Pelodiscus sinensis: one gene and its partners. The protein of the gene in region 1 purifies or fractionates together with the protein of each later gene. This does not show direct contact. Links are inferred from orthologs where the notes say so. Each region holds a gene or a part of one and is shown on either strand. Other genes may lie near its edges.

Region 1 (7,943 bases):
CAAAAAGCACTGATTTCTTACAGTAGGAAGTCAGTGCTTTTGTGGAAATTCAAGTGGCCAGTGTAGACAGCTGGCAAGTTTTTCCCGAAAAGCGGCTGATTTTCCGGAAAAACTGGCCAGTCTAGACACAGCCATTAAGTTTGCAGATGATACCAAGCTGAGAGGGGTTGCAACTAATCTGGAGGATAGGGTCATAATTCAAAATGATCTGGACAAATTGGAGAAATGGTCTGAGGTAAACAGGATGAAGTTTAATAAAGACAAATGCAAAATGTTCCACTTAGGAAGGAACAATCAGTTTCACACATACAGAGTGGGAAGCAACTGTCTAGAAAGGAGTACAGGCAGTCCCCGGGTTACGTACAAGATAGGGACTGTAGGTTTGTTCTGAAGTTGAATTTGTATGTAAGTCGGAACTGGTACATATTGTAGGGGAAATTCTACCCAAACATTTCTCCAGAGCTCAGTTTTATTCTCCCACACCTCACTTCCCTCAGTCCCTTATTCTCAAGCTGAGGTGTCTGCTGAGAAAAGCCGCTCCGTGTCTCCCTGGTCTGCTGGGGGGGCGGGCGCTAGCTTTGCATCTCTCTGGTCTGCTGGGGCGAAGCAGCTAGTGCGGGGTTGCCTCACCCCGTTTGTAAGTAGGGATCCGATGTAAGTTGGATCCATGTAACCCGGGGACTGCCTGTACTTCAGAAAGGGATCTAGGGGTTATCATGGACCACACGCTGAATATGAGTCAGCAGTATGATGCTGTTGCAAAAAAAGCAAACATGATTCTGGGATGCATTAACAGGTGTATTGTGAGCAAGACACGAGAAGTCATTCTTCCGCTCTACTCTGCACTAGTTAAGCTTCAGTTGGAGTATTATGTCCAATTCTGGGCACCACATTTCAAGAAAGATATGGAGAAATTGGAGAGGGTCCAGAGAAGAGCAACAAGAATGATTAAAGGTCTAGCGAACATGACCTATGAAGGAAGGCTGAAAGAATTGGGTTTGTTTAGTTTAGCAAAGAGAAGATTGAGGGGGGACATGATAGCCGTTTTCAAGTATCTAAAAGGGTGTCATAAGGAGGAGGGAGAAAACGTGTTCATCTTGGCCTCTGAGGATAGAACAAGAAGCAATGGGCTTAAACTGCAGCAAGGGAGGTTTAGGTTGGACATTAGGAAAAAGTTCCTAACTGTCAGGGTAGTCAAACACTGGAATAAATTGCCCAGGGAGGTTGTGGAATCTCCATCTTGTGGAGATATTTAAGAGTAGGTTAGATAAATGTCTATCAGGGATGGTCTAGACAGTATTGGGTCCTGCCATGAGGGCAGGGGACTGGACTTGATGACCTCTCAAGGTCCCTTCCAGTCCTAGTATTCTATGATTCGCTGCTTGGCTTGTATTGAGCATGCTTAGGAACACTGCTGAAGCCACTGTTCTCAGTCTGGTCCTCTCCCCCCTCCTCCGTGCCCTCATTCTGCTTCCCAACATGGCAACGTGCACTGGTTGCTCTCTTCCCCCCTCCAAATCTGAAATGGTTTCCCTGGATATGTGCTGCCTAAATATCCCTTCCAGAGTATGTGCAAATTAATTTTAGGATCGCTACATTTTATTTGACATTCCATAGTTACTAATTCTGTGCTCCTCCACTGAGCTGCTTTGAACAATAACCCTCTATTTTTTGTCCTATTTCAGGACTCTTAACCTATATGGCCTGTGTTCTAGGTCACTTCATCCAAGGCCTTCTCTTGGGTGATGCAGGGCCTGGAGCAACCCCTCTTTTGCCCCAGACTCCACCTTCTCCCACCCCTGCTCTGCCCCAATCCATACCCATGCCACCTCAAACCCCATCCTTATCCACTCCCATTGCACCGTTTCCCCAAAGCCCCCTTCCCTGAGAGATGTGAGCTGAGGGATTACCAGGGGCCTGCTGTAGGGTGGCAGCAGGGATCACCCCCATCGTACTCACCATAGTGGTGGGCACTAGAGCGACCCAGCCCCAGTCCGCTCTGCTTCCCTGAGCCAGCATCAATTGGGCAAGTGGGGTGAGGCTGGGCCACTCCGCTTCCCACTGCCACAGTGAAACAGCAACCCAGCTGGAGGATGGTGGTGGAGCAGCGTAGACATATCTGAATTGCTAATGAAGCGGGGATTTAAATCTCCCACGGTTCATTAGCATAAAAATGGCTGTCGCTTTTTTCGGCACGGAGCTTTGTCAGAGAAAAGTGCCAGTCTAGACGCTGATCTTTCAAAAAATAAAGCCTTTTTTGAAAGATCCCTTATTTCAGCATCTAGACTGGCGCTTTTCTCCAACAAAGCTCCGTGCCGAAAAAAAGCAGCAGCCATTTTTATGCTAATGAAGCGCAGGAGATTTAAATCCCCGCTTCATTAGCAATTGCGATACGTCTAATTTACATCCCTTTTCCGAAAAAGGGATGTAGTCTAGACGTAGCCATAAAGAAGGGAAAAGAGAAGTTGGGACCAGCATACACATAGGCTATGTCTACACTGCAAGCTTCTTGTGCAAGAACTGTTTTGCGCAAGAATCCATGGCAGTGTGGATGATCTCTTGCGCAAGAAAGCTGTAATGGCCATTTTAGCCATAGGGGTTTTTTGCGCAAGAAACCTGTTGCCCATTCACACTGCCTTCTTGCGCAAGAGGGCTTAATCCTCTTGGGGAGAGGAATAACTCTTGCACAAGAAACCCTCTGTTCTGACACTTTACTGTAAATTTACTTCCGCAAGAATGTGCGTGTAGCATAGTGATAGAAATGTAGCCGTGTTAGTCTCAGCGTGTAGCATAGACACTGCAGAAGTTTTTGCGCAAGACGGCCATTCTTGTGTAAGAAGCCTACAGTGTAGACATAGCTGTAGGGATAGAAGGACTGTGCTGGGTAGTAACTATTTCCTGCCCTTTTTTGGGGGAGAGAGAGGTTGGTTTTGTATTGGCAGCTGGCCTGCCCAAGACTATGAGTGGTTTACTGTTTACATACCTATTAACAAATAAAGAATATTATACAGAATATCAGGATTTGAGATAAAGATAAAAACATGTTAAGGAGCAATTAAGCGTAATACAGAAAACAGTATTCCTTTATTTGCTGCCCCCCCAATACAGTTTTTATTATGTCTCTCACATGCACTGCATGACTTACATGCACGCCCATCTCAAGATTTTTAAGCCAGTTTTCCTGCACAGCATGTTTGTACTGGTGTTATTCCCCCTCTTCTGTTGTACTGTTAAGTCCATAATGTGCCCACACAAAGCATCCCTTACTTCTGCTGCCTGGGTGCAATGAGCTTCCAGGGTGATAGCTGCACAGAGGGTACTTATGCAATATTCCCTTGTTGTCATAGGTGCATTTAGGGGAAAGGGCTCCTCTCTGATTCACAAAAGTTGTGAAGAGCATAGCAATACAGACAGCATTGATGACACTGACATACAAATAGGTTTGTAACCCTCAAACGTGTTTTTAATCTAACAAAAGCACATTCAACAACGATTCTACAGTTGCTGAGAGTGTAATTACACCTTTTTTTTCCAGTGCCTTTGACATCAAGGTATGATTTCATAAGCCACGGCAAAAGTGGGTATGCAAGATCCCCCAGAATAACATTGAGGATAGTAACACCATTTATGTCAATGTCATTGGGTGGGAATAGTGTCCTAGCCTGTCCATGGATGTACACTCCAAAGTGACAAAAAACTCTGGCATTGTGAACCTTTCATGCACAGCCCACATTAACATTCATAAATCTGCCTCTGTAGTCTACTAGTGATTGTAAAATAGTGAAGTAGTATCCTTTGTGATTTAAATACTCATGTGCTCTGTGAGGTGGGCAAACAATGGGCACGTGATTTCCACAATTATTTCCACCTCCACAATTATGAAACACCCCATTCTCTCAAAGCCAGCAATTACCTCAGGGATATTTTTAAAGCCTGCCACTTTGGGATAAACCACACAAATGATTGTCTCAGTTACTTCTGCCACCACTTTACCCACACTTGAATTGCCAGCCCCTAACTGGTTGGCAACAAACCCTTAGCAGTCTGGAGTACCCAGCTTGCAGATAGTTATAGCTACCCCCTTCTGGACTGGCAAAGGGTGACCCTGTATGTGTCTCTACAGTACAGGGTGGGAAGAAGCTGGTCTCACACTTCCAGAAATGTAGCTTTCTTCATGTGAAAGTTCTGCACCCACTGCTGGTCATCCCAGGGCCGCATGACAACGTGGTCCCAGCAGCCGTGCCAATTATACTGAGCAGCATTTGCCACTGAGAGGCTGTGATGCCAGGATCCGCTTCTGCTGCCTCATACATCTCCCTGCACATCCATCAAGAAAAGAGTCGGTGGGACGGGAAGTGCGGCCGAAGTGCCCACCAGCGCCTCTCTGCAGCTCCGCCAGTTTCCTGACACAGCCGTGAAGGTGCAAGCAAAGAGGGGCTCATCCAAAGGCGAGCCTCCTCCATGTTGCTGGCGCTGGCAGCGGGGAGCGCACTGACCAAAATGGCTGCTCGGCAGGCTTTGCCGGGGCTGCCCAAGCTCCCCGTAAGGAGCAGGGTAGGCCGTGCGGGTTCCCCCCGGTGCGGCCCGGCCCTAGGGCGAGAGCGTCACGAGGGTGGTGCCGCCGCCCCAGGGATACTCGGACAGGTCTGCGCGCGGAGGGCCCCGGGCTTGGGCAGGGCTCGCTAACCCCTAAGCCAGGGCTGCCCCGCAGGCACGTGCTCCCGGCCAGGGTTCCCGGGCGCAGCCAGCGGCTCGGTCATGGGCGGTGCAGCCGCAGCCCGAGCCTGGCCCCTGCAGCCGGGAGCGCGCGAGCGCCAAGCCCCGGGCGGCTGACGCCAGCTGCGGGGGGAGCCGGCTTGTGCGCGGGGGCGCAGGGGAAGTTCCAGCCGCAGCCGTTTGCCCCGAGGCTTGGGGAGGGCGCAGGGACCGAACGGGCGCTCGGCCGGGTGACGCGCGACGGGGCGGGGGCGCGCGACGCCCAGCCCAGCCCAGGGTGCTTGATGGGCGCCGCGTGCCGCACGCTACTCCGCAAAGGCGGGCAGCCGGGCGCGGCGGGACTCCCGGCTCTGGCCTCCAGGCTCGCGCGCCCCCCGCCCGCTTCCCGCCCGGCGCTGCGGCTGCTCCAGTCCGGCGCAGCAGCAGGCGGCGCAGCGCCCTTCCCACGCGGCCGGCGCTGGGGCCCGGCTTTCACCCCCGCGCCTCACTTCCTGTGCGTCGGGCCCGGGGCGGGGCTCGTTCCTTTCGCCGCCGCCGCCGAGCGTCCCAGCTGCTCGCCGCCCGAGCTCCGCGGGGAACAGCCGCAGGAAATGCCCGCAGCCGTTCTCCTGCCGACCGGCAGCGAGCCCGAGACACCGCTGGAAGGCGAGGCCGTCCGGGCGGGCCGCAGGAGGAAGAAGGTAGGGAAGCGGAACCCTGGAGGGGGAGAGGCCGGCTGTCCCGGGATCCCCGGCCGGGGCGGCAGAGGGGGTGGGGCGGGACGATTCCCGCCGGCCGGAGGGAGAACCGGGACCAGGGGTTCCCCATAGACCCGTGCTGTGCGGGAGGCTGGCTGGTCGTGGCTCGCAGCTCGGCCTCCATGGCTGCGCCACGTGGGCGCCTCCCTCTCTCTTTGCCAGTGGCTGCGGGCAGCGCCCGCCTGGGTGAGCCAAGCCCCTCGCTCGGCTCGTGAGCGGCTGGACGTTCGCCTCCCGCCCCGATGCTTTGCCGCATTTCTGCCCCCTTGGCAGGCTGCAAGCGACGGGAAGGGTGCGAGCCCTCCGCTGTGCAGGCTCAGACCCATGTGTTCTCTGGCCCGGCGGGGTCCTCCGAGCGCGCCCTGAAACTGCCCCCGCCAGGCGTCCTATGGAGTAGGAGTTTCCAGCGATACACGGGGACTTGTGTGCACTGCAATCGGAAGGTGCGATTCCCAGCGTGGATAGGATGACTCGAGCGAGCTCTGCATTAGCTAGGGCTTTAAGACCTGTCTACACTATGCGGAAGATTGACGGTGCTGCCTTTGATGTCCCGGGGTTCAGTTTAGCGCATCTAGTGAAGACCCATTAATTCAAACTGAGAAGGTGCCCCTGTTTGTGCTGATATTCCTGCTCCTCAACCGGAGTAAGGGAATCCAGCAGGATCCTTTGTTCCCATCTGCCTCTCCCTGTGTGGATTGTGATTTAAAATGTCTACTCCAGCTATGTAATTAACATAACTGGGGTTGTGTATCTTAAGCTGACCTTCCTCTTTAGTTTAGAGGGACCATAAAATAGCAGAGTGGTCCTTTTGGCATATGTAGTGGCTTGGGCTATCCAGCCACCTGAGTTAGGTGGATGGTTGGTGTTGGCCTGGGGCCATTAACAGAAGCCATCACTTGTGCCAATGTCCGCTGCTGTTTTGAGAGCGTTAATTTGAGCACTGATAACATGAGTTTGTCTGCTGATGCTAGTATTCACTTCTAAGCTGCAGTATAGACATGCCACCTTTTCAGATTGCAACATGTCCCTAGCTAGATTACAGCACATCTGTATCTATAGTCCATCACATCCTGAAGTTTGAGGTTTGGTTTACTGTCTTGGTCCAGTGGATGGGATAGGACACTGGACTGGGAATCATGAGAGAGTTGTGTTTCTGACCCTGCCACTGACCTGTTGCATGACATTGAGCAAATGACTTCACTTCGTGCTCTGTTTCTTCTCCTGTCCTTTGTCATGTCTGTTTTGATTGTAAATGTTTCCTTATTACAAAAATGTGCATGTACAGTGCCTAATAAAATAGAATTCCAAACTCTTCAGTGCCTCTGGAACAGGGATGGGCAACCATGAATGGCCCGCCTTTATGTCAGTGGGCAACAGCAGGCTGCAGTCCATGGGGGTTCCACCTGTGGCTCCACAGCCCTCCTGGCTGGGCTCCTGCCCACACATTTCTCAGTTAATGGAGCCCCACGCTTACCTGCATTTCCCCCTCCCAGCACTTTCAGAGCATTCAAATCGCTCTGTCCTTGCTCTCTTTTCCTCCTTTCCCGGAGTTGGAATGCTGCCTGATTTGCACACCCCAAATCTGTTGGGAGAAAGGGAGGAGGTGTATGAAGTGCAGGGCTTTGTGTCCCAGTGTGTGAGAGAGGTATGGAGGAGGGGGTCAGCCAAGGGGTCCGTGGGCTCCAGGTGGGCTGCAGGTTGTCCACCACTGCTCTAGGGGCTTCTGTAATATAAATATTATCATGTGGTGTTCATGAGATTGTAAACAGGTAGGTGCATGTGACATCCGCTACTAGCCTCAGAACAGTCTGGTTCTCATAATCAGTAGGTAGTAGTCATTATCAGTCTCACTCAGTCACAGATTGTTTATCTTCTTGCAGTAGGGGGGGTAGTTTAATTATGATGAGGTGTGACTGCCAGAAAGCTTTTGATGACAGAGGTATCCTCTGCTCTTCCTGAAGAGGCTCAGGCTTCACAGATTAAAAGTCTAAAGACATTTTACTTTTCTTCATAGATTTTGTTTTTTTGTCCTTTTCTATTTGATGTTGTGTCTCTGAAGGATAAAAAGGAGAAATCTAAACACCATGGTAAAGTCAAGGAACTGAAATCTGAAATAGAGGAAAATGAGCTATCTGAAGATGACCTTGATCCTCCTAAACCCAAAAAGAAGAAAAAAGCTAAAGAAAAAGTGAACGGAGATATTGAAGAAAACAGCTCAGAGGATAAGGTGAAATCCTCCATGAGCAATGGCATTGCTCACTCAAAAGCTCAGTGTAATTCCAGCGAAGCATCAAGTGCAGAGTATGACAGTGACCAAGAGCCAGTAAAGGTACATGCTAAAACCCTTAATTTTATCTGCTTAAAAAATCTAATTGACCAGGTTTACTTTGTGGAAAAGTGTTTAGGGTTGCTAGGAAAAACCTTGTGTGTCATCACTGGTCGTAGCAGAGGATAATAGATTCTGAGCTGTACCTCTATGAGGCATAGCAC
Region 2 (7,945 bases), on another chromosome or scaffold:
GTCTGCTAATTAGCTGGGCAGGGCAGCACTGGAATCCCTCTTTGGTGGCCATCCAAGCATTCAGCTTACAGAGAACACTGGTCAAGAGGATGCCCGAGTGTAACCGTTCACAGCCTTGATCCTGAGCCCAGATGTTAGATCGGGGCTCACACCTACCTCTGTGTTTGTGAAGGGTCTTGTGCTGCCGTATGGTTCTTTTGTGCCAGGTGATGTGGGAGTTCCCCATTGCATGAGGGGCTCTGCTTGTGCCTGGGCTGGATCTGCTGTCTGGATACACATACATCATCAGAACCCAGGCCCAGCGACCTGGCATTTCTCCCCAGCACTACATTAACGCCAGGTTGTTGCATTTTCCTCTTGCTGTTTCTGGACGTGCATCTAAGGAATCACCTCCCCCACAAGATGAGCTCACTCTGCTCTTGTTTGTTGTGGCTCTTCCTGCCAAAGGCCCCAGAGGCAACGGAAGAAATCTACTCACCGGCCCCTGACGTAGGGAAATGATAGAACAGGATGGAGAGCGGCAGCCCGGGCCCCGACGGCTCACTCCTGCGTCTCAATTAAATGCCCGAGCCAGGAGAGGTGATGAGTCATGGGCAGTGGCTCCCGTGCATGTGCCGGGGAGCTGGCACACAGTGTTCCCAACGTGAGTGCTCTCCCCACGGACTATTCTTCAGAAACAAATGGCCTGATCAGCCTGCCAGGCTCAGGAGAGCTGCTTGTTGCTCTGTGTCCACAAAGAGATGGGACAGTTCTGGGTAGTGAATGCCAAGCCAAACCACAAACCACAGGGTCACAGTGGGATGCCAGTCACTGGTGTCCTTCGTAGGGCTCTCTCTGATGCATCCGCACACTGTCCTGTGCACACCCTCTCCTGCCTCTGGTTCACGCATAGATCTCGAAGAACCCTCAAAGGCAGGACCTGCGTTTGCAAGAGTGGCTGCTAGTTTGGGATGGGGAAGGTAAGTTAGGGTTGATTTTAAGAGGCGCCAAGAACTAAGAGCTCCCAGTGGCACCTCCAAAAAGCAGGTACAAGTCTCTCCGGCCAGGCACACAAAGCCAGAGGCCACTTTTGAAAATTTCCCCCCAAGTTACATTGTGGCTTAGTGGCCAAGCCACTATAAAACAGGAATACCCGCTCTTCCCACTAGGCAAAACTTTTTAACAAACAGGTTTCAGAGGTAGCCATGTTAGTCTGTTTCAGCAAAAACAAGGAGTCCCGTGGCACCATAAAGACTAAACATTTGATTATAGCATAAGCTTACCTGAGCTGCAATTCACCTTATCAGATGCATGAAGTGAAACTCAAAGGAAACAAATAGGGGCATAGAGATGGGAGTGTTACATCATGGCTAATCAGGATGGATGTGGATAAGAAGGTGAGAATACTTAAAATGGAAATTTCCTACTATCTGATTCCTTTGCCTTTCACTTCATGCATCTGATAAGGTGAATTGCAGCTCATGGAAAGCTTGTAGTGGGTTTTACCCAGGAAAGTTCATGACCCCATATATTTTTGTTAGTCTCTAAGGTGCCACAGAATTACTTATTGGTTCATAATACAATTGTTAGCCCTTAAGGACCCCTTATTGTTTTTCCTAAATAACATTAATGGTTTCACCTTGGAGATGAGACTGGATATCGCACCATTGTGAAATCTGAAAATCCTCCCATAAGGAGGAGCCAGCCCAGAGAACAGAGGCACGGGAGGGCTTTTGCGCATGCAAAGAATATTTCTGCTCGGTATAGCAATGTGAATTTTTTGTTTATTGCAGGAAAGCTTTTTCTCAGTAGGGTGAACAAGGATCACAGAGTCATCAGAACCAGGTAAGAGCTTGTCCATTCCTCTGGGCTAGCGCAGTGCTGTTCCCTACAATGTGTACTGCAGGAAGAGAAGACTGCAGGGCATCTGAGCTGACCTGGGTGGGAGTTTCCTTAAGGAAAGTGGAAAGTTATTTTATTCCTTAGCGCACTCAAGAGGGTTGGCAGGCCTGCTGCTGATTACAAGTTCCTCCCCTTTCCTAATGTCTGGGTCACTTGGGAGGGTGGATAAATCTGTACAAACCCTGTGTACTGCCTGCTCTGCTATTGGGCCAGTGGCCATGGGTAAAGCTGATGCAAAACCATGCTGCCTTGCTAGCCCTCAGAGGGAAATGCACACTTTCCTCCATCCCCAACTCCAATGACACCACTGTTATGCAGCTCACCAGGTGAAAGATGAGTGGCATCTGGTTTGGAAACTAGTAAATAGCAACAGATGGAGTCCAGAATGAAAAGGAACCACTCAAGCAGGCAAATAGCCTGCTCGAGGGTCAGGCAAACACAGAGCTGGCATCCCTGAGAAAAGGCCTGTGATGGAGGGGTGGGGTAGGGCCACAGACTTTGGGAAGAGGCAATGGAATATACATGGAACTCACTCAGATTTCTCCTTGGAATTATTTATTCAGGGACTTCCTCTTGGAATGGGGTAGAGAGAGGAACAGTCACCTTCATTTCTGGGCTTGGGAAAAATAATCCCCTGGCTCCCAGAAGCACTGAACCAGCAAGCTGACAAAACTTTAGGGAACAGATCTACAGATGGTGTAACTGACACAGGACCATGAAGTCAATAGAGCAATGCCATTTCACACCCACTGAGGATCTGCCCTAGATGTATGCAGGAATGTATTTGACACAGTCTCCAATGGATCAGAGAATACATGTGGTGCTAGCGTCTAAGCAAGGGATCAGACAGCAGGGGATGTGCTTAATGCAGTATACAAGGGCTCAAAGAGTAGCCAGGACACTACAGAATGGAAGCTGATCAGTGTGGTTTGCTCAGGAGCCATGCAAATTGCCCCTTTTTTGCTGGTTCTCTTGCACCCCAGTCTATAAGTGAATTATTGGTATCACTACCAGTGGAATAGGTTTTTGACATGGCTCCTCTAGGTTTCTCTTTTTACCTTAAGGAAAGAACTGAGGCTCAGAGAGGATAATGACTTACCTAAGGCCACACCAGCAGTCAGTGGCAAAGTCAGGCCTGACTCACAATTGCTTGTCCTAACCACTCCAGTCCCTCTAGTCTTTCTCCTTTCCTGGCAGTAAGATTATTAGTGGCACCCTACTGTACTGACTAGACTAGTTTCTGCTCTCTCAGCAGGCCCATTTCTGTTGCCTGAAATCTTGGCTTGACTTGACTTAGTCTCATGTATGTGAGAGCTAAATCTCTCACTGCTTGCCTTATTGCTAATACTGTTGGCTTGTTTCAAAGCCCCCCCTGCTGGCGTTCTGCTCATATCCATCAATGCCATGGATACTGGCATTGAGATACTGCTAGCAGCTGCATCTCCTGCTGATTGTGAGTAATGGCAGGAAGTGTGGGTTGGGTGTATGTGTGTGTGAATGTCAGGGATGGGAAATGCACTGAGAAGATAATGTGCAGAAATTGTGGGGCATTGCCTCCTAAATGGTCTTTGGTCTGTGGTGGAACATACAAGGGGCACAGTGGGGCCCAGGCCAGCCCCCAGAGGCAAGGACAGACCATTGCCATACCCAGCTCTGCTCCAGCTTCCTCCCCAGCCACGACCTCTGACTGACCATGCACCCATCCCCATCTCCCACTCTGCACCCAGCTCTGGTGTCAGTCTCAGCCTTAGCCTCTGGCTGTGGCGCTGATCCTGGCCCCAGACCCACCCCCACCCCCAGTTGTAATCCTGTTACCCTCGTCCCTTTTCGCCCTCCCTCTGGAGAGCTGTGGCTCTGCAGGATGGTTTGAGGGTGTATTGACAGGTGTAAGGGAGGGTGTAACCCTGAACAGTTTGGGACCAGTGCTCTCCATCAGGGAATATTTCCTATGTGTCAGGGCCACTGGCGATACACACGAGAGAGACAGGATTTCAATGTTTCTTAATGTAAAAATGCTTCTATGCAGGAAAAGCTGAGCGTGGGTCACATTTTGGGCCCAACAGGGGTGCCCGTGACACAAGATACCAGACTTATCAAGTGCCAAGACACTGTGGCTGTGTCTACACTGCACACCTTTTCCGGAAAAGGGATGCAGATGAGACAAGTCGGAATTGCAAATGCAGCGGGGATTTAAATTTTCCCCGCTGCATTTGCATGAACATGGCTGCCGCTTTTTTTCGGCTCAGGGCTTTGCCGGAAAAAAGCGCCAGTCTATACGGGGATCTTTCGGAAAATAAAGCCTTTTCTGAAAGGTCCCTTATTCCTGATTTTAAGAGGAATAAGGGACCTTTTGGAAAAGGCTTTATTTTCCAAAAGATCCCGTCTAGACTGGCGCGTTGTGCCGGCAAAGCCCCGAGCCGGAAAAAACGGCAGCCATGTTCATGCAAATGCAGCGGGGAAAATTTAAATCCCCGCTGCATTTGCAATTCCGACTTGTCTCATCTGCATCCCTTTTCCGGAACAGGGGTGCAGTGTAGACACAGCCACATGTCTGAACGTGAGGCTCCCTTTGAGCCTGAGGCCCAGGCCAATGGCTTTGACTGGCCCTGCCCCGGCTCAACGTAGTTTCTCTTATAGGCTGGAGTTGCAGTTTCCGGCCGGGGAGCATTGGGAGCGCAGGGCGGAGCTGGGCCGATGCCCCGAGGTCCCTGCCTGGGACTCCTGGGGGCGGGCCCTTGGCGCTGCGGACCGCTAACCAAGTGCCAGGTCTACGAGAACTACAACTCCCAGGCGGCGGCGCGGCGGAAGAAGGGGCGGGGCAAGGCTCACGGGGGCGGACGTGCCCGGCGTATGACGTGAGCAAACGCGCCGCAGTCGCGGGGGCGACAGGGGCCTAGTAGCGGGAGCCGGGCCTGCGGGCCGACATGGCCAAGCAGTACGACACGGTGGAGTGCCCCTTCTGCGACGAGGTGTCCAAGTACGAGAAGCTGGCGAAGATCGGGCAGGGCACGTTCGGGTGAGAGCCCCCCCCCCCCCAGCGCTCGGGTCTGGGCCGCCCCCTGCCCTGCGGCCCCCAGCGCCCCCAACCCGGCTTCCTGCCAGCCCGGCCTTCTGGGAGCGACCCCCCCCCGCCGGGGGCGCTGAGGGATCGACTCGCCCTCGCCCTCCAAAATGCCTTGGTGTCTTAGGAGATGCCCAGGGTCTGAGATCCCCCCCCCCCCCCCCGCCTGGAGATCGGTGAGAGGCTGGTCCATTGCCGGTCTCACCTGCCTTGGAATCTGCGAGCCGGCTCTCTCGGGGTACGTCTGCACCGCACCTGTATTTCAGAATGAGCGATTCCAGGAGAAATACTCAGAAATAGCTTGTTTTGAAATAGCACGTCTACACTGCAGGGGAGCCTCAAAGTTAGTCCCAGTCAGGTTCCCCTAATGTGGATGCGCTGCCTTGATTTAGAGCCCCAGGAGGCCCTAGAGCAGTGTTTCTTAAACTTTCTAAGACTGAGGAACACCCAAGGATTTTATTTTATTTTATTTTTATTTTTTTGCTCAACAAAAAAAAAAGGGGGGGAGTTATTGAGGGGGGGAAAAAAAGTTTCCTGCCCCTCTAAGTTTGGCCATTTTGCACTCTGTTGTTCTCCAAGGCACACCTCCAACTGCCTCGGCGCACACCGGTGTACCGTGGAACACAGTTTAAGAAATGCTGCACTAGAGAGTAATTACTTTGAGTGGCCCTGGGGAGGCGCTATTTCAGAATAGCAGCAGGGGCGTGTCCACAGTACATTGCTTGTGAAATGAGGTTTAAAGATGTTGGAATAAGCCATCCATTATTTTGAAATAAAATTACTGTGTAGATACTCGCATTATTTCAAGATAACATCAGTTATTTTGAAATAACTGTGCTGTGTAGATGCACCCTAGGAGATTGTGGTGCTTCTTGGCACGAAGTGGGAAGACCTGGGCTAGGCAGAGGGTCAGCACTGAGTTGCCTGTAAGCAAGCATAGAAATGTCTTGTTTGGTCTTGGCTGGGGATGTAAAGAATTAGTTGCTGCTCCCCCCCCTCCCCTCCTTATCAGATAGAGGCAGCGAGGGGGAGAGAAAAGAGGAGGGGTACTTAAAAGCAGCAGTGCCACATGGAGCCTGGGGTCAGCTGGGGACTCCAGGCTCCATGTGGTGCTGCCCTTTCAAAATGCCTCCCCAGGCTCCACATGGCATTTCAAAGTGGCTTGGAGCCCAGGATCAGTTGGGGACTCCCCAGCTGACCCTGAGCCCAGTGGGGTGCTGCTGCTTTGAAATGCTGTGCAGAACCCTGGATTAGCTGGGGACTACCCCGGGTTCTGCATGGCATTTTGAAGCAGCAGCACCTCTTGGAGCCCAGGATCAGCTGGGAACTCCCCAACTGACCCCAGGCTCCGTCCAGTATGCCATCCTTGAATTGTGCAAGAGTTGCCAGCGGCATGGAGGAAGCACAGCATGGAGCATGAGTCCCCTGTTAACCCCAGGCTCCATGCGGATGCTTCCTCTTTGAAATGTGCAAGAGCCCCCACTGGTGACTTTGTTCATTTCAAAGCAGAAGTGCCCCTATGGAGTCAGTGGGACTTCCTGCTGGGCTGTGTGTGTCATACCAACTTTGAAATGCCCAGGGCCCTGGGGGCTCTTGTATATTTCAAAGGTGGAACGTGGAAGTGCTTATCAACTAGTAATCAACTCAGCTAATAAATTAATCACTAGTTAACATCCTAAGTCTTGGCTGGCTGTGCCTGCTCCACTTGGCTACTTCAACTCCTCCAGGAATGCCCATGTGTTTCTATCCTCTCTGCAGGGAAGTGTTCAAAGCAAAACATCGGCAGACAGGCAAGAAAGTGGCTCTGAAGAAAGTGCTGATGGAAAATGAGAAGGAGGGGGTAAGATGGCTGGGCATGTGCCTCTACTGTGTCTGGGTTAGAAGGGTGGGAGTTTGCGAGCTGGGCATATGTCTTTAGTAGACAATGTCTCAATCTTTGTGGGATATGGAAATTCATTGTGTGTGTAACTTTGCAGGATCTACAGCAGTAAAAACCAATATAGAAATAATTTCAATTTAGAAAGTGTTGTGCTGCTCTGTGTATTAGGGATGTAAAAGGTTAACTGGATAAACAGTTAAACTGTGGGGGCCGGAGTAGCTCCTGAGTGTCCGGAGTAGCTCCTGAGTGTCCGGAGCAGTCCCTGTTGGCAGTGGGCCTGGGTGCACTGCAGGCAGAGGCTGCTCCAGCCCATCTGGACTGCACCTCCCCTTAATTGGTTAACCAGTTAAACCCCTACCTATGTATCAGGAAGTAACTTGGTTTAAAACAAAAGTCTTTCCATGTTACATGGGTGTCTGAATCGCATCTCTGTTGAGCCCAATAAGATTTCACTTCTGCTCACATGGTAAAGTTCATACATTGAGGAGATGGGGAGCTGCATTCTAATTGGGATCACACATTAACAAGTGTCTCCATGTTTTAATGGCAAACATCAGTATTGCTTTTGCTGGTCATCTCAAGAAGCAACAACACACTGGATTCTCTTCCACATCTCAGGGTTTTTTTTAAGTAGTTGATCCAGTCTGGTGTTCCGGACAGTCAACACAAGCTATTTTAGTTACTAGGTGCTAAGAGTTATAAACTGGAAGTCACTGTGAATAAATCTGGAACTGCACAATGTTGGTGTTAGGCTCTGTTCTGACCCTAGCTGTGGTTTGAGCAGCAGCACTTTGTCTGCTTGAATACATCTCTTTGAGATTTCTGCCATAATTATCTCCTCTCCCCTTTCCTCCCCTCCCCTGATCTAGATTAGACTGGGATCTTCTCTTGCAATTCTAACTTGTGGCTCTTTGTTAGTTCCCCATCACAGCCCTGCGTGAGATCAAAATCCTTCAGCTGCTCAAGCATGAGAATGTAGTGAACCTCATAGAAATCTGCAGGACCAAAGGTAGCACATTTTAGTTCCTCCTTTTTATTTTTTTAACTTACATCAGTTGATCTCTAGTGTACCCTTTATTTTTTTCTCAGTGAAATGCACTAGCCCAATACAAAATAGCATGGTT
Region 3 (7,609 bases), on another chromosome or scaffold:
GGCAGGGTGCGGGTGCCTGGGCGCGGCGGTAGGAGGCGCTGGGGGGCAGGGTGCGGGTGCCTGGGCGCGGCGGTAGGAGGCGCTGGGGGGCAGGGTGCGGGTGCCTGGGCGCGGCGGTAGGAGGCGCTGGGGGGCAGGGTGCGGGTGCCTGGGCGCGGCGGTAGGAGGCGCTGGGGGGCAGGGTGCGGGTGCCTGGGCGCGGCGGTAGGAGGCGCTGGGGGGCAGGGGCAGGGTGCGGGTGCCTGGGTGCGGCGGTAGGAGGCGCTGGGGGGCAGGGTGCGGGTGCCTGGGCGCGGCGGTAGGAGGCGCTGGGGGGCAGGGGCAGGGGCAGGGTGCGGGTGCCTGGGCGCGGCGGTAGGAGGCGCTGGGGGGCAGGGGCAGGGTGCGGGTGCCTGGGTGCGGCGGTAGGAGGCGCTGGGGGGCAGGGTGCGGGTGCCTGGGCGCGGCGGTAGGAGGCGCTGGGGGGCAGGGTGTGGTGCCTGGGCGCGGCGGTAGGAGGCGCTGGGGGGCAGGGGCAGGGTGCGGGTGCCTGGGTGCGGCGGTAGGAGGCGCTGGGGGGCAGGGTGCGGGTGCCTGGGCGCGGCGGTAGGAGGCGCTGGGGGGCAGGGTGCGGTGCCTGGGCGCGGCGGTAGGAGGCGCTCGTGCTGGGGAGCGGGGCTGCAGCACTGGCCATACCGCGCGCCGCGCTCTAGCGCCCCCTGCTTTCGGCGCCCAGCCGGCCTTTCCCGGCAGGGCCCCGCCCCTTCCGCTGGCGCTCTGGCTGCGGCGTCACTTCCGGGGCGACTTCCGGCGGCATGGCGGCGGCGGGCGGCTCGGGCGCGGGCCCGGCGGCGGGCGGCCCCGGCTGGGACGGGGACTTCCTGGCGCGCTACCGGCTGGTGTCGGCCAAGCTGCGGCGGCGCTTCCTGCGGAAGCCGAACGTGTCGGAGGCGGCGGAGCAGTTCGCGGCGCTGGCGCGCGAGCTGCGGGCCCAGGACGCGCTGCCCTACGCCGCCTGGTGCCAGCTGGCCGTGGCGCGCTGCGCCCAGAGCCTCTTCCACGCGCCCGGCGAGGCGCAGGCGCTGAGCGAGGCCGCGCGCCTCTTCCTGCGCCAGGAGCGGGACCTGCGGCAGCGCCTGGGCCTGAGCGGCGGCTTCGCCGAGCACCTGCAGGCCGCGCACAGCTGCTTCGCCTTCGCCGCGCGCCTGCACCTGGAGCTGGGGCAGCCGGCGCTGGCGGCCGGGCTGTGCCTGGAGCTGGGCGCGGCGCTGCGGGACATGGAGCAGCCCGGCCAGGCCGCCCCGCAGTTCCAGCGCGCCGCCGAGCTGCTGGCGGCCGCCCAGCTGCCCCTGGAGGCCCTGCGCTGCCTGGGCGAGCTGGCCTCCTGCTTGCTGCTCAGCCGCGACTACGACGGGGCCCTGGCTGTGCTCACCCAGGCGCAGCTGCTGGCCCAGGCTGGGCCCAGCCCTCCCAGCGGCGCGTTCCTGGAGGTGTTGGTGCGCTGCGAGGTGTCGCGGGTGCTGCTGCTGCTGCTGCTCCAGCCACCGCCACCCAAGCTACTGCCGGAGCATGCCCAGACCCTGGAGAAGTACTGTTGGGAGGCCTTCGAGAGCGGGGCGGGGGCCGGGCAGCTCCCCCAGGCGGGGTACTTGCCTCCGGGCCTCTTCCTCCTGCTGCAGTCCGCTGTCATGGCCTGTCAGGAGAAGGACCTGGAGGCGCTCAAGGTGTTGCAAGCTGAGCTCTGGCCGCTGCTCAGCCCTGAGCAGAACCACCTGCTCCATCTAGTGCTGCAAGAGATGATCAGTCCTGCTGGTCAGGGGTCCTGAGTCCGTCCCCCCCCACACACATCCAGACTGGCTTCACTTGCTTGCTGCCACTTCCATAGGGAGTCTGTTTCCCACCTGAAAGAGAGGCCTGCCCCACCCACCCGCTTTTGCCTCAGTGGGACTCCTGAGTCCCCAAGTAGCATCACCAGCGGGATAGGCTTTGCCCACCTTCAGCTGCCATCACTATGGCATCTCTGTATTGTCTGCCATCTCCACAGACTAACTGCACCTTCACTGATCTGTTGCTATTTCCCTCATATAGCCCAAAACACTCACCAAACATCACCAGAGAAATTAACTTCATACACCTACAGCAATCATCCAGAGATTAGCCCACCTGGTTCCCCAGGGAAGTGGTCGTACCTTTCTGTTGCTAGCCACAGAGTCTAAGCCCTACTCAGCATCACTACCAGCATGACTCGTTTCATCCACCATGGTGTTCTGCTTCCCACAGCAGCCATACACAGGGTTGTTCCATTTTGGCCTGTCACCACTGTGCAGCCAGAGTTCACCTATCTCCCTGTGACCATCAGCATATAGGCAAGAATTATGTAATGCCACTTGAGACTATTTTCCCTTTGAGGCTGAGGAATGTGGATATGCCAACACTTCCTATGTACTACTTCTGGTTATAGAGAAATGTCCTTTTTCAGCCCCAGCACTTCTCCCATACTCCTCTCACTCACAGATTCAATATACCTATTGCAGGAGATGACCTGATCCATTAGAAACTGTGTGCTATCACAGCTCAAGTTCGTAAGAGGCAGGACTCTTGCCATATTTTATTAAGAGACTGCAAATGGCACTCATTTTCCAAACAGTCCCCAAATGCCAGGATTCAGCCTTCTAGTTTAAAAGTCTCACATTTGTAGATATAATGATTAGTGCATTTTTTCTGTATGTTTAAAAATTAGAGTAGTTTTAGGTATGTGAGCAAAAATACCATTTCTGTTTAAAGTGCTCATAATTCTTTCCATTTAAAAACTAAATGAGAAGCTAAAATTGTATTGTTATGTCCCTTCTGGTCCGGGTTCTGTTTCAGTGTTTCTGTTGCCTGAGATTTGTATTTTCTAACTACCTGGCTCTCCGTCCAAGCTCTTGCTCTGTTAATGTAATGCTGTAGATACATTGGTGTCTCTAGAAAACTATCTATCCTGAAGCCTTGTCATTCTTTAAACTATAATTCAGTAAATATTATAGTCTTAAACTGATTACTGTTCAATGTGTCACCAGCCACAACCTAGGAAATGTGGGGAGGAGTCCCTGCTTGTAGCTCATTAGCCTCACTACTTTGTTGGTTTCATTCAACAAGTAAGTAAAGGTGGGTGTGGAATGTGTTTAATTTTGGCATTGGCTACATATGCTATCTTGCTATTTATCAGGCCTGTTACAGCAGTTTAAAAGGAATGTATGGGTGTAGGGGGAACACTTACCCGTAACTTTGGTCCTCGGATATGCTTTTGCAACACTTGCTAAGGTGTGCATTCTAGGGGAGGGCAAAACTGATCTCTGTAAAGCACAATTAGTTTTTAACTCTTAACTTTTCTATTTTAATGATGAAGAGAATTAAAAATTGGATGGTAGACCCGGTCTGTGATCTAATGAACTAAATCTGGGCCTGGAAGCTGGTTCCACACTATTAACTCTAGTCTTGAACAAATCGTTTATTCTTTGTAGGTGTGCTTTCCTACTTGTATTTGCATTCCCATTTTACAAATCTCTGGTGCAAGTATAATGTTTGTATGGCATTTTCATGATGAAAAATGCAGAATAGCTCTGATAACTGCCCTGAGAAGAGCATGTTGCTGGCCATCTTCTGGAAAGAATGTTTTCCAGCAGAGGATCAACTTTAGTTGTGCTTTCCCTTTAACTGTATTTATGTATCCTAAAGAAACAATTTTGTTCTTTTTGCACACTGAATTCTTACACAAATTGAACCTTCTGGACTTCAAACTATGTGGCGTGCCTGGTCTTTTGTGTGAATAAAAGTGAGGCTGTTTGGAAGCTGCTTAAAAAAATACTTCAAGCCTTTCTCGTAGTAGGAAGTGGAGACAGAATGTCCCTGTAAAGTGCTGGAAATGGATGGGTATTTTGTGTGTGTGTTACTTTACGTGCACCTGTAAACTGATTTTTGCATATAAGAGTGAACTTTACACTAATGTTTTGAAATGGGCATATGCGCTGAGGTATGACTAATGAAGCATCTTTCTACTGGAACTCAGAATGGAGTTTCCTTTGTCTTGAAGCTGAGTTTGTGTTAGTCTCAAGCCTTGCAACAAAGTGCAGTACCAGAGAGCACGATACCAGGGATACAAATGTTAGAGAGCTACTCCTGTATCTTACACCTTTCAGATAAAATTGGGCAAGAACAATGTTGCAGCTGCCCTGCCGTTGTGGAAGACTCACCCACTGAACGAGGAATGTGTCCAGCAAAGGGGACAAAACAAGCTTAGTCCTAAGACAGTCATGCAAGCCTGGAAGCGGTTTGGAAGGGCTTTCCTGGCTGGATCCCTCCCGCTGGGTGGGGGCCCTGCCATGCTAGCGGGCCTCTGTGGAAGGCAAACCCCTCGGCACCGCGTTTACACGGCACAAGGGCCCGGCCCAGCGGTCGGAGCCCCGGGAAGGCGGGGTGCGCCTCTGCGGGGCCGGCTGCCCGCAGCTGTAACAGCTTCCGGGCGCCTGGATCCTGGCGGGGGCGGGCTGAGCCTCACGCGGGCCCGGCCCGATTCGTCACGTGGCGGGCCGGCAGCTCCTCCCCCTCCGGGCGCCTGAGCACGTGACGGGGCCGGGCCCGCGCGCGGTGCATCTCGGGACGGGGGCGGCCCGCCAGTCTCTCTGCGCGCGCGGTGGCGGCTGCACGCGGCTGGCGGGGCGAGCGGCGAAGATGGCGGACGGGGAAGGTGAGGGGCACGGGGGGCCTGGGCCTGTGTCGGGGCGGCGGGGGCCCGGCCGTTGGGCGGTGGCTCTGGGCCCCGGGGGTGGCGGGGACTGCGGGGGGGGGGGCTCGGGGGGGCGGGGACCGCGGGAGGATGGCTCGGGGGGGCGGGGGCTGCGGGGGGGGGGGGGCTCGGGGCCGCGGGGGGGTGGCTCGGGGGGGGGGCCCGGCCGCGGGGGGGTGGCTCGGGGCCGCGGGGGGGTGGCTCGGGGGGGGGGCGGGAGCCGCGGGGGGGTGGCTCGGGGCCGCGGGGGCGAGGGCCGCGGGGGGGGGCCCGGCCGTTGGGCGGTGGCTCGGGGGGGCGGGGGCCGCGGGGGGGTGGCTCGGGGCCGCGGGGGGGTGGCTCGGGGGGGGGGCGGGGGCCGCGGGGGGGTGGCTCGGGGCCGCGGGGGCGAGGGCCGCGGGGGGGGGCCCGGCCGTTGGGCGGTGGCTCGGGGGGGCGGGGGCCGCGGGGGGGTGGCTCGGGGCCGCGGGGGGGTGGCTCGGGGGGGGGGCGGGAGCCGCGGGGGGGTGGCTCGGGGCCGCGGGGGGGGGCCCGGCCGTTGGGCGGTGGCTCGGGGGGGCGGGGGCCGCGGGGGAGGGGGCCCGGCCGTTGGGCGGTGGCTCCAGGCCGCGGGGGGGTTTCCGCGCGGCGCCCCGGGCTGACCCCCCCGCTCTGTCCCGCGCAGGGGGCGCGCGGCGGCACAAGCGGAGGAAGGAGAAGTCTCTGGCGGACGCCGATGTCGCGGTGAGTCTCCGCGGGGCCGGCGGGCTCCTCGTGGCGCCCCTCCCCCCGCTGGCCTGCAGCCTGGCTCGGGCGTCGGCCTGACGGGCCGGGCGGCCGCTTTTGGGGGGGGGGGGTTAGAACCGTGTCTCGGGGCCATGTCTGGACTCTCGCCCTGCGGCCGCGGCCGCTCCACAATTGCCCGCTCCAGCTGCGCGGCCTTAGCTGAAGTCAGCACGCCACGTGGTGTCTTCCATGCATTGAGGTGCGAGGGGAGGGGGCTGATGCTCTCCTCATCCTGGTGCAGTGCCCCAGCCGAAGGGAGAGTGCTTAGAGACTGATTTAGCATATCTGAAGGATGCAATAAATAGAGCACATGTACTGAAGAAAAGCCCTAACCGTTTTAATAAGGGATGTAAAAGTGTATCTATGCGCACAGTTAACCAATAAGCCTGGGCTCATCAATTAATGCGCATGGTTACATGCAGGCTCCTTATATGCATGGGAAGCCGGCTTAACAGCCATCTCCCCATGTGCATCAGCTCCCAGGGAGCCACCTGCCGCCCTGTACACTAGGGCTGCATCTACACTGGCAAGTTTTTCCGCAGAAAAACTTGACAACTGTCTACACTGGTCACTTGAATTTGCGCAAGAACACTGACGATCTAATGTAAGATCGTCGGTGTTCTTGCACAAATACTATGCTGCTCCCGCTCGGGAAAAAGCCCTCTTGTGCAAATGCTTTTGCGTAGGACGGCCAGTGTAGACAGCTAAAAACTATTTTGCGCAAAAAAGCCCCGATAGCCCCAATTGCCATTTTCGCCTTCGCAAAACCGCGTCTAGATTGGCACGGACGCTTTTCTGCAAAAAGTACTTTTGCACAAAAGTGTCTGTGCCAATCTAGACGCTCTTTTCCGCAAATGCTTTTAATGGAAAAACTTTTCTGTTAAAAGCTTTTGCGGAAAATCATGCCAGTCTAGACGTAGCCTAGGGGTGGGCAATAATTTTTGAAGGGAGGCCCTTCCCAAAATTGTGGAAAGTGGTTGAGGGCCACATTCTTCCATAGTATTAATGGAGATGTGGGGTCTGGGATGGAGGTTGGGTGCAGAAGGGCGCTTGGGGTAAGGGTCTGGGATGCAGGAGGGAGACTGGAGTCTGGGAGGGAGTTGGGTGCCAGATATGGGAGGGGGTATAGGTGTAAGAGGGGGACAGAAGGCTTGGGTATGTTGGGGGAGAGGGGAGAGAGTTGGGGCAGGAAAGGGCTAGGGTGCCAGAAGCAGGGTATGGCTGAGAGACTTGTCAGCTGCCAAAGTAGCCTGCCTACCTGCAGAGCTTACAATGTTAGCCAGCCAGCCTGCCTGCCTGGCCATGTGCTTCATGGAGAACTGGGTCTAGGAGAGGGGGCGTGACTCTTCTTAGCTGCCTGTTGTTCTAACAAGCAGCTCGCATTGGCTGGTTTCTGCTAGAAACCAGCCAATGGAAATATACTGAGGGCAGGGCGGTTCTTAAAACTTTAAATGGAGCCCTGCAGCCTTGTTTCTGCATGGGGCAAGAAAGGGAGCCTGCCAGGGGCTCCCTGCTGCCTCTGCAGGTTGAATCTGGTGGCTTCGTGGGCCAGATTTTGCCCAGGACTGCCATACATGCAGGGAGCCTTCTCTCTTCACGTTTACACAATTACTTAAATTCATTTTAACAATGTTATTCACACTACAACAGAAAGTTGACTTAAGCTATGCAATTCTAGCTACCAGTTGGAGTCCGCATACCTTAGTTCCAGTTACCTTGAGGTCTTCTCTATGGGGGGCTGACAAGAGAAACTCTCCCATCCACTTCCCTTACTCTTCTCTTCCAGGTAAAGTAACAGGGTGAATTAGAATGGTGATCTGCGGTTGATTTGTCAGGTCTTCACTAGACCTACTAAATTGATCACCAGTTCATCAATCTCAGCGCATCCATCTGGGCTGTAGTGTAAATGTAGCTACAGTAACCTAAATGGTTGCCATTTTAGGCCTTCATTTGGAGGATGGAGGGGAAAGAAGCAGCAGGACGGAAGGCAGGGTAGTGTTGTTTCTTGCCTTGGTTTTGGTGTATGCTGTCCATGGGGACACAAGGACCTGAGGTGGGATAGTGTTATGTCGGAGAATGAAGACGTCTTTGTCCTGAATC

The links. The genes of interacting proteins can lie anywhere in the genome.
Region 2: the proteins of DDX21 (region 1) and CDK9 purify together in Homo sapiens (affinity purification with mass spectrometry; 3 studies listed by BioGRID and IntAct, with this or other methods). This does not show direct contact. The link is inferred for Pelodiscus sinensis from reciprocal best matches to the Homo sapiens genes DDX21 and CDK9.
Region 3: the proteins of DDX21 (region 1) and DKC1 purify together in Homo sapiens (co-immunoprecipitation; 3 studies listed by BioGRID and IntAct, with this or other methods). This does not show direct contact. The link is inferred for Pelodiscus sinensis from reciprocal best matches to the Homo sapiens genes DDX21 and DKC1.

Annotation. Positions count from the first base shown.
Region 1 is NC_134718.1:28,634,645-28,642,587, forward strand, and holds the start of DDX21 (nucleolar RNA helicase 2), read left to right. Parts: upstream 1-4,931; 5' UTR 4,932-5,000; coding exon 5,001-5,396; intron 5,397-7,512; coding exon 7,513-7,782; intron 7,783-7,943.
Region 2 is NC_134732.1:10,828,192-10,836,136, reverse strand, and holds the start of CDK9 (cyclin-dependent kinase 9), read left to right. Parts: upstream 1-4,934; 5' UTR 4,935-5,052; coding exon 5,053-5,180; intron 5,181-6,700; coding exon 6,701-6,782; intron 6,783-7,739; coding exon 7,740-7,830; intron 7,831-7,945. UniProt on the Homo sapiens protein: Protein kinase involved in the regulation of transcription.
Region 3 is NC_134723.1:737,200-744,808, forward strand, and holds the start of DKC1 (H/ACA ribonucleoprotein complex subunit DKC1), read left to right. Parts: upstream 1-4,598; 5' UTR 4,599-4,689; coding exon 4,690-4,705; intron 4,706-5,408; coding exon 5,409-5,467; intron 5,468-7,609. Other genes in the region: 40-kDa huntingtin-associated protein-like, read left to right, coding at 795-1,805.